Saccharomyces cerevisiae S288C: one gene and its partners. The protein of the gene in region 2 binds, or shares a complex with, the protein of the main gene of each other region. Each region holds a gene or a part of one and is shown on either strand. Other genes may lie near its edges. The genes, in order: IES4, IES5 and IES1.

Region 1 (2,865 bases), on a different chromosome or scaffold from region 2:
CGACAGTGACAAACTTAAAAATTCCCAGAAAAGAGCTACCGACTCAGCTATTGAAGAATTAAACGGTATGGTTGAAGAAATGATGATTAATGAGCCAGACGATGTAAAAATCTCCATAACTGAGGCAGAGACTTTCGAATCATTGACAAAGTTTGATCAATATAAGCCATCCAATATAACTGACGATGACTTACAAAGCAGCCATTCAAGCGCCGTTCACTCATTGAAGCTAAGTACAAATACAAATGATTCTTGCGCTGATAGTTCCAAATACACCGCTGATAGGAAATTAGCGGAACCTAGAAAGATTTCTGAGGAATCCAAAGTCAACGACGATTCATCATCATATTATTCTCCAAATATCAACAACTTGCCGGCATCAAGAATGCCTAGTCAACCCACTTATTCAAATTCGGATTCGAAAAAGGCATTTACGAATGAGTCTCGCCTGAACGTCTTACAAGGTGCAGTCAGTCCATCTCAACAGGTAACACCAAAACCATATAAAAATGCGCCTGGAGACTGTGTATCTCCTGTTCAGCAAAAATACTATCAGAACGATCGTAGAAATGAAATGTCGCCTGCAAGTGCACCAGTTCCACCTTCTGCATATTCACCTGCGAGGTCTCCACAATTCTCCACCAATTCGGCTGGATTCAAGCAGAACACGATTAATGTACCCGTTGGGTATAATGATCCTGCTCACGTTTTAGCAAATCAACCACATATGACATATCGGGACCAGCATAATTATCCATCTCACCAACAAAAACAACGTCCCTTCCAAAACAATATTGTGCCCCCAGAACTAAAGTCCAGAAATCAACGGGCAGATGCTTCACCTATTCCCCAACATATGGTGCCAGTAAAACAAGGTGTGCCCAATCTTCCATCTAACGTTCCATTATATCAACAAATGGAACGAATGAACCCTAACCACCAGCACCCTGTAAATACTTACAAGGTAACTCAGCCGCCGTATCATAATAACACAACAAATGCTTATGGGAACAGCCGGGCAGGCAATGCTCATATGTTAGATGGAAAGTGGAGCAATAATCCGCCGCAAATGGTACCAAAGGGAGTTCGCCCCAATCAATATCCACAGCAGCACGTTAATAGGTATTCACCGCAAGCTCAACCTGTCGTACCTGCGGAATACTACAATGGACCTCCACCTATGCGAGCACCTCCAATGATGTCCCATATGGTACCAGCTCAGGAGCCGATACGTTACACAGCTGGTGCTAACAGGCGTAGTTTTCCCCAAGGCATGCAGCAGAATGCCTATTCCGTACCCGCTCAGCCTATGGGGGCTGTAAATAGTGAATTTTACCTACCAGAAGCTCCTCAGGGAAACAAACTGCATGGAAATATTAACAAAAGACAGGAGAGAAAGAAGCTATATGATAACATTAGAAGCGGAAATTTCGGCATATAGAAACACTTTGTATCTGAAATTATCATCTTTATGAAATCTCAACAGTTGTAAAATTTCCCGAATATTTATACATATATATGTGTATGTAATTACAAGTATTTAGGACAATAAGGAGAGATTTAAGTCTACTACATAATTTTTAACTCCTACAAATGGCAGGTTACGTTGAGTAAGAATATAACATTTTATTTTCCATATTCAACATCATATGCATTTTATCATCTCATCCTCTTAGTCACTAATTTTTCTAACGCTCATAACAAAAGGTGCGTTACGCCGTCTAGAGCTTTTCTTGAACGTTAAAACTTTACCAAGCAGTTGACGGGTAATCATTCTCATAATCCAAGTAATTTTAAAGATATCAACAAAATGTACTATAATGCCAACACATTCTTTACTTATATTGGCCGGAAGATAAATCCAATTTCTCGAGTAATTGTGGTATGTCCCAAGAAAGTAGTGTTTTATCAGAATCGCAAGAACAACTAGCCAATAACCCTAAAATAGAGGATACAAGCCCTCCCTCTGCCAATTCGAGAGATAATAGCAAACCTGTACTTCCGTGGGATTACAAGAATAAAGCCATAGAGATCAAGAGCTTCAGTGGTTATAAGGTAAATTTCACCGGCTGGATAAGAAGAGACGTAAGAGAAGAACGTCAAAGGGGAAGCGAGTTTACTGCATCTGACGTTAAAGGATCAGATGACAAAGCTACAAGGAAAAAAGAACCAGCAGATGAGGATCCTGAAGTAAAACAACTTGAAAAAGAAGGAGAGGATGGACTGGACTCATAAGGTAATGTCAACAGCTTAAAGTTGTTCTCAGGGCCCCACACTTTCTAGTTTGGCACGTCATTTATGAAATTCACAAATTGGTTACATTAAGTACTAAATCTGGTAGCCGACCAAAAAAGAACAACAAATATACAATTGTATGAGTAAATATGCAATATAAATCAAATGTATTTAGTTAAAGGGCCAGAAGTAAGGCTACAGACTGTAAAAGAAAATTAGATGGAAACCCTCTTCAGGAAAAAAGGACATTATAAAAGATACAGCCAAGAAGTGGGCGTTTATAAAACAATTATATAACATGACCGTCGATTATATTCTGACAGGAATGGCGACGATTGCATCGTTATATTTCATTTCATTCCCAACTCAACGATACTGGTATCAAAAAGCCTCTCTGTTCATTATTTGTCCCACTACAAGCGACTCTCTTATTTTTGGCGGTCTCTGCCAGCTTAAGAAAAAGCGGTTACCAAACGACACTAAAAGAAGCGGCGCGTCTGGTTCATTAGAAATTTGTCAGTAATGCTGTCAATCTTTGTGTAAAAAGTCTTTCCATCAGTTGCCACCCCTTTTGTAGCAACTTCCATGCGTAGAACAACCTCACATTCATTATTTTTTTTACCCTTCTCT
Region 2 (2,989 bases):
AAGGAACCAATAGTTGTTGTTGGGAACAATGGCAAGTTGAAGACTTTTTGTTGTTCAGGCAATCTTTGTTCAAATGGAGCTGCTCTAGTAGACATTTTTTCGTCGATAGAGGCAACTCTGGCCTTAACGGCAGCATCGTGGATAAACTTGGATTTACCTCTGGATTCAACAGATTTAGCGTTAGCTTCTAGGGCAGCAGCAACGTCTTGACCGGAAACGTTCTTGGTGATCACAACAACTTCATCCAATTTTTGAGTGGCGAAAGAGAAAAAGCCCTTGATTTCAGCGTCCAACTTGGTTTCGTTGTTCAAATCAACTGGTGTGTGCAATAGAGAAGAAGAAGTGGCAACAACGACTCTGTCAGCACCCAACTTTTCAATAGCCTTGTTAACGATAGCGGAAGACTTCTTGAAATCATTCTTCCAAATGTTTCTACCATCAACAATACCAACGGACAAGGTTTGTTTGTTACCAATGGCGGCAACGACTTCATCAAATTGTTCTGGAGCTCTAACAAAGTCAACGTGTAAGGCAGCAACTGGCAAGCCCTTGATGGCGTCTAAGTTAGGGACAACGGTACCGAAGTAAGTAGCCAAAGTAATCTTTGGTAGATTGCTTTGTTCACCGAAGTAAGTGTAAGCCTTCTTAATGGCGGCTTGGGCGTTGGCAGGCAAGTCCAAAACTAAGACAGGTTCGTCAATTTGAACTTCAGTGGCACCAGCAGAAGCCAATTTAGATAGGATTTCAGTGTATAGAGGCAACAATTGTTCCAATAGGGACAATGGTTCCAAATCTAGAGAATCCTTGTCAGCCTTACCCAAGAATAAGTAAGAAACTGGACCCAACAAGACAGGTCTAGTATGAATACCTAACTCCTTGGCTTCCAAAAATTCGTCAACTGGCTTTTGGCCGTTCAACTTAAATTGAGTGGTCTTGGAGAAAGTTGGTCTAACGTAATGGTAGTTAGAGTCGAACCATTTAACCATTTCCAAAGCAGTGACGTCGACAGCCTTTTCAGTTTCAGTGGCCTTTCTTTGTAAACCTCTACCCATAGCAAACAAAGTGTCGATTGGAGATAGATCGTACTTAGTGTAACGGTCTGGAATGACATTGAACAACAAAGACAAATCCAAAACTTGGTCGTAAAAGGAGAAGTCATTGGATGGGATGATATCAACACCAGCCTCCTTTTGCAACTTCCAGTTTTGAGTTCTCAAATCCTTACCGACCTTGAATAATTCATCGACAGTGATTTTACCGTTCCAGTAACCTTCAGTGGCCTTCTTTAATTCTCTGTTTGGACCGATTCTTGGGAACCCTAAGACAGCAGATTGAACCATTTTTGATATGTACTTTGAAATTATATTGGTATTTTGTTTCTTAGAGTGTTGTCAATGCTCTTAGATGCTTGCTTTTTTATGATAAAGGAAGAGTTTAACAAAAATATTGAATACGTAAAAGAGAAACTAATGCTAGTAAAGATGGAAATATCTATCACTTATATAGAATTTTTTTTTCTTTCCTTTTTTTCTTTCGCAGTTGGGAAAACTAGCTAGCTTCCCTTAAATTAGTGCATCTATCGCATTTGTTCCATATTCACATTCACAGTTCTCAATTGAGCAGAACGAGCTATGACTACCACAGTTTTGCGACCGGGAGATAGAGCGAAAGAGCTGCCATGACTGCGATGACTCTAGCGAAAAATATTGGCCTTTTGCACGTTCGCGACTAAACGAGTTCGATAGTAGTCCCGTTTCTGGTTTTTTCCCTTTACCGGCCCACATTTTTTCACCTGACTCCGGTCCTGACGTACGACTCTGTTTGTAAGTCACGTGAAATATTTCCTGTGGCTTTTACTAGTAATGTGCACGTGATGTGGCGTGATGGTCCTTTACCCGGAGTGCGGGACCCTGGTTCATGAAAAATTGTGTGAAATCAACTGCATTTTTGGAAGCGAAAAAGATGATGAACCTGAGTTGAATGGCTGTGGGAAACCAATACTTGACTGATTATAAAACAAGAAAAAAATGCCTAGTAAAGATCCAGAGAGCGTTATAGACAAAGAAATACGGAAGATATCAGCAAGAAATGATGAGCTTATCAAACAGGATGGGACTCTAAAAAGGGAATACACTACATTATTGAGAAAAGTATCGAGCGTGATAACGGTACTGAACAGTATTGATGATGCAGATACTGGTTCTGCTGAAACGGAACTCCCACGCTTAATATCTCAAGCAACAGTAGAGAAAGTACCCGAATTGAAGTGGTACAATGATCAGATATCACTGATTACAGAAAAGTTGGAGGACGATGAAGATATTGAGGTTCCCGAGGAGCTAATGGATGCTTATACTCTGTACAAGGAAACCCCATTATTATATAATGATACGCACACACCATAACGGTTTTGTATGCTGTGGTGTAGGGAAGTGCCTGGGTCTATGGAATATTGTGACTATATACATTTATACATGCGGCCCTTTTTTGCTCTAACGTGTAAAATTAGCCGGCCTTTTGTCCCTTTTGTTGTCGTGCCTGATGACATTTTCAAGCGCTCTATTGTTAATAAATAGTCCGCAAAGAAACTTCCTAACATGTGGCTTAAACCGATACTTCGACATCATATTAAATACTTTGAAGAACATTTTCTCGTTTTCAAAAAGCCTTGGACCGTATTTATTGTTTATTTCTGTAATCTCCTTCACTGCGTGATTTGAAAGGATATGATTGCCTAGCTGACTTACTATATGTAGTACCTTGCTCTCGATGGAGTCATCGTCATTGCGGTATTGTGTAACATAGGGAGAAGAAAGGCCTTCGTTTGCGAAAAGACTACTATTTTCACCTGAAACAGTGATAGTTTGACTTGTGATATCGTTGTCGTATTTATTAGTAATGATTTTTTCATTTAATGGATTCTCTGCGGTATCTTTCTCTTTGAGTAGTTTGTCCAAATCAAATTCGATGGGTAAGCATTTTTCTATCA
Region 3 (4,338 bases), on a different chromosome or scaffold from region 2:
ACAACGACTGTTTATTTGCGTATGGGATTTCGTGTATACTTCAATGAAAGAAAAAAAAAAAAATATAATAAAACTAATGGTTTTGCAATTTGAAGGGTAAGTTTTTACTGCATATGGCCAAAAAAACTTTTGACTTTTTCATATGTCTATCAAATTATCCATAAGACCATTGCTCATCGAAAGAGATTTCATTTCTTCTCGAAGGCCATTTTTTAATACTCCTTGCAGAATTTTTCCTAATCGTGCATAATCAGTTTTCGTACTTCTCCTCAATGATAACATATTCTTGGAAAGCTGCTTAATGGCGTTTACCAACAATAAATTTATAGACATATACCAAAATCTTCTTTTAGTCCACATATGAACATATTGAAGATATTCTATTGAACAACTTAAAATACTATAAACGCATTCATCTTCTTTTTCTTACTGAGAAATTTTATATTCCTAAAAATTTTGAAATGATCTGAGTTTATTTAGATCTCTTGAACATCCTACAAGAACATTTGAAGGGCAATAATCCTCATCAATACTACTCAATTGTTTTCCATGGGAAAGGATTTCGATCTCTTCCTTTAATATATGTCTTCTAAACCACTTACGTATCCTATCTGTGCTAGAAAGTTTTGTTTTATTCTTCGTATGATCTTCCAATATAAAGTTAGTGTTATTTTCCCACTTCTTGAGGTTACAAACTGGTTCTTTCACTTTCAGCTCCGGATTATTCTGCTTTCTCGTTTCATCCGTTGTTGCGGTAGGTGAATGATTTATTTCAATGACAATGTGTGATACGAGTTCCATTACTTTGATGTAGCCATCATTTTGGAAAGGTGAACTTCCATAAAAAACTGACGAGGAAGACGCAATGGTCCTTTTTGGTCGGGATTTGGGCATCTTTCTATAAGTAGCTAAATTATGGTATTTGATAGCTATATTTGCGACTTATTAGTATTTTGACATTCCATAAAATGCAAAAATTATTTACTATCCTTTTAAATTCAGTTATTATACACGTACATATTTTTTTAAACTGATGCGACAGTTTATCGAGTTTTGTGTCAGAGGACGTGAAAAAATTGCTCTAGTTGAGACCAACATGATTCAGGATGAAAAATTATCCAACGTTCGATTTTCTGGTCTACATGTCATTTGAATAAATTATTTAGCAGACGTTGGATAGAAAGGATTGAAAGATTACATAATGTTATTTCAAAAAAGAGAGAATTGAAATATGCTGGCTGACCTTTACCGAAAACAAGAAGATGAACAGAAGGAAAACCTGAGAGTCGATTGATGTCTCAAAAGACCACTACTGTTATGACACAAAACAATTTAACGACTCTTGATGTAAAGGAACTAAAGCAACACTTTTCTTAACCAAGCCAGTATATATTTTGCAGTATCAGAAATAATCAGACTTTTTTTTTTCTTAGCCCATATTAAGACAATTCTGTAGCATATCGTGTACAACGAAAAACAGGTTACCCTCGAATGCGGTAACGGTACAAGTAAGTAAAGAACGCCCAATGAATGCTGATATGGTATTGGAAACAGTTCATGATTAACTAAGTAAAATCGAAAGCTAAATAAAGGCGACACTCTAATTAAAGATGGGGAAGAGAGTATACGATCCAATTCATGATACTTTCCAACTACGAGAAGACAATTCTGACGAAACAAAAGCAGATTCTCCAATGCAATCTGTAAAATCGGGATCACAAGAAGAAGCATCCCCAAGCTCCATTCAATCAGAGACCGAGACTGTGACTACAAAAAGCATTCCAGTTATACACGAGATTGAAATCGACGATAAAAATGATGATGACTCCACGCAAAGTGAAGAAGAAAATACCAACATCTTGCTCAACTTCGAACCTTCTACAGTGCCTGAAGCAACAGGAGCAAGTACGGCAACGGGGCCAGTGACAACTAACACTGTTAGAAGGAAACCCAAAGAAAGCAATGCCAGTAAATACAATCGTCATTTGAAGAAACCTGACGGCGAGCCATTCAATAGAAAGGACATTCAGTTCAGTTTCATGCAAGAACTGTTGATGGACAAGAGGCAAATCTTCACTAATGTTCTAAAACCCCTATACAAGAACTCTATTGTACCCATTAATATCGATGGCGATAAATTATCAATCAACGTGACCGACAAAGAGTACGATGCAAGGACATTTGTATTTAACGATAAATTGACGTTCGCACAATTGTATGTGTTGACAATAGCCACTTCTATCAAATGTTCCAAAATTCTCAGAGATAAACTATTATTAGACCAACAAGTAGCATTTTCTACTTGTGTTTTAGCGTTATTGGTCAACATTGGTAGGTTGAACACCACTATAAATTTTTATTTAGAAATGACATCGCAATTGAGAACTTTTCACTCCGTGCCAGTTTTACAATTACATGCCAATGATCCGAAACTTTTGCAGGATACACCTAGACTGAAATCTATTCTGAAAAATCTGCCGTGGGGCAATGAGCAACTCTCATTGATGGAGACTTACAAAAAGGTCGACCAAAATGATGGTGAAGTGGACACCGTTAACAAATTTAACATTATTAATATGTTGTTTAGCATATGTGATAATTCCGGCCTAATTGACAAGAGGTTTCTTTCCAAGTATGTGGAAGTCGAATCGAAAGCTCAGGAGCAAGATATGGTAGATGAACAGAATGAAGTAAAAGAAACGGAAGCGGAAAATGAAAAACAAGAATCAAAAGCAGCTTATGCAACAACATTATTTGATATACTGGACTATTCGAAATACGAGCCAAAGGATAGATCAAACATATTGATTTGGCTGCTATATATTCATTTGGAGACAAACTTAAGCCAGGAGGAGGTCGAAGAATCAGTAAGATTTTTCAATGGATTGGAAGATGGTGCACCTGCTGGAAAGTTCATTTTAAGGTGTACGGAACGCAGTTACGACACGGATCCTGAAGATGAATTAGAGTTCGGAGCCAACCAACGCATCAAGAGAAGAGAATTCATGAGTAAGATGGAGGAGGGTAGGAAGCGCGAGCGTACCAATGTTACAGAGGTGAAAAAGCCCAGTATCGGTGGTGACAAGAGTGAAGAGGACGGTGAAGGGGAAGATGACAAGAGCGAGGAGACTGTAGAGGAGACTAGATCACTTTTGACGCCTACGCCCATACTGGAATCTTCTTCACCCATGACATTGAACAGGAAAAAAGTCACACCACAACTGCCCAAAGTAACGCCAGCAGCACCAACAGAAACAGAAGAAGAAATCACCTCCGCTGCTATCATTGACAAAAACGATTTAAATCTAACACCATTGAAAAAATACAATAGTTCGGCTACGGTAAACAAGGTCGACAAGCTAATATCGCTAGATCTGAACAAGCATGTGTCAGAAAATGGTAAGACACAAGAGGAGTTTCTCGCCGATTTGAAAAAATCCCAGGTGCCAAACAGGTTGAAAAGACGCGATATTGGGTTAATCAAGATATTCAATGAATTTGAAGACATCCCCGTAGCGTCAGTGCTTGGGATTCGCGGTAAAAAGAGAAAGAAATTCAAAGATAATTTGCTTGGATTTGAGACGGATTTCATGAAAAATCTCGGCGCTTCAAAGAAAGTACTTTTAAATAAAATCGAACGCGCGGAAATTGATGACGAAGAAGCAACCGCCATGTTTAAGCTGGAGTGAAATAGAACAATACGCACACACACACACACACACATACATACATTTAAGAACATTTTGTAAAGAAAGAGAATTTTTTTTTTTAAAAAAACAGCTAATTTTTAAACTGAACTAGAGTATATGCGTACTTAAGTTTATATATTCCACCTCGATTTAAGCGTTTTTTTTTTAGAATTTTTTTATTACTCTGCTATTCATTGAATATAATATTAAGGAACATCACACATCATAAAGAAAAAACCATGTAACTACAAAGAGTTCCGAAAGATTTACTTCTTGGTTGGGTCTTCTTCACCGTGGACACGACCGGAAACATATTCGACGGCATCGTTCAACTTGGACTTGGCGGCTCCCATGTAATCTCTAGCTTGGTCTGCCAAAGATTCACCTTGACCTTCAGCGTTATCCTTGCCTTTTTCGGCAGAGTCGTGGACACCTTGGAAGACACCCTTGTTGTCTTCTGGTTGAACCTTACCAGCGACCTTGTCGGCCTTGTCAGTGATGTATTCCTTACCTTGTTCAGCGTATGACTTTTGAGAGTCTGGCTTCAAAGCTTCAGAAGCTTTTTCACCGAATCCTTTTCTACCTGCGTCAGACATTGTTGTATTTAGTTTTTTTTGTTTTGAGTTGTTTGTTTGAGATTATCGAATAA

Evidence for each region.
Region 1: IES5 (region 2) and IES4 share a complex: the UniProt entries of both Saccharomyces cerevisiae proteins name them as parts of the chromatin-remodeling INO80 complex.
Region 3: IES5 (region 2) and IES1 share a complex: the UniProt entries of both Saccharomyces cerevisiae proteins name them as parts of the chromatin-remodeling INO80 complex.

The regions. Positions count from the first base shown.
Region 1 is NC_001147.6:687,740-690,604, forward strand, and holds IES4 (Ies4p), read left to right. Parts: upstream 1-1,884; coding exon 1,885-2,235; downstream 2,236-2,865. Other genes in the region: MSB1 (Msb1p), read left to right, coding at 1-1,441.
Region 2 is NC_001137.3:340,828-343,816, forward strand, and holds IES5 (Ies5p), read left to right. Parts: upstream 1-2,027; coding exon 2,028-2,405; downstream 2,406-2,989. Other genes in the region: MET6 (5-methyltetrahydropteroyltriglutamate-homocysteine S-methyltransferase), read right to left, coding at 1-1,340; TORC2 complex subunit TSC11, read right to left, coding at 2,493-2,989.
Region 3 is NC_001138.5:107,203-111,540, reverse strand, and holds IES1 (Ies1p), read left to right. Parts: upstream 1-1,610; coding exon 1,611-3,689; downstream 3,690-4,338. Other genes in the region: YFL012W (uncharacterized protein), read right to left, coding at 448-894; lipid-binding protein HSP12, read right to left, coding at 3,956-4,285. UniProt on the Saccharomyces cerevisiae protein: Probably involved in transcription regulation via its interaction with the INO80 complex, a chromatin-remodeling complex.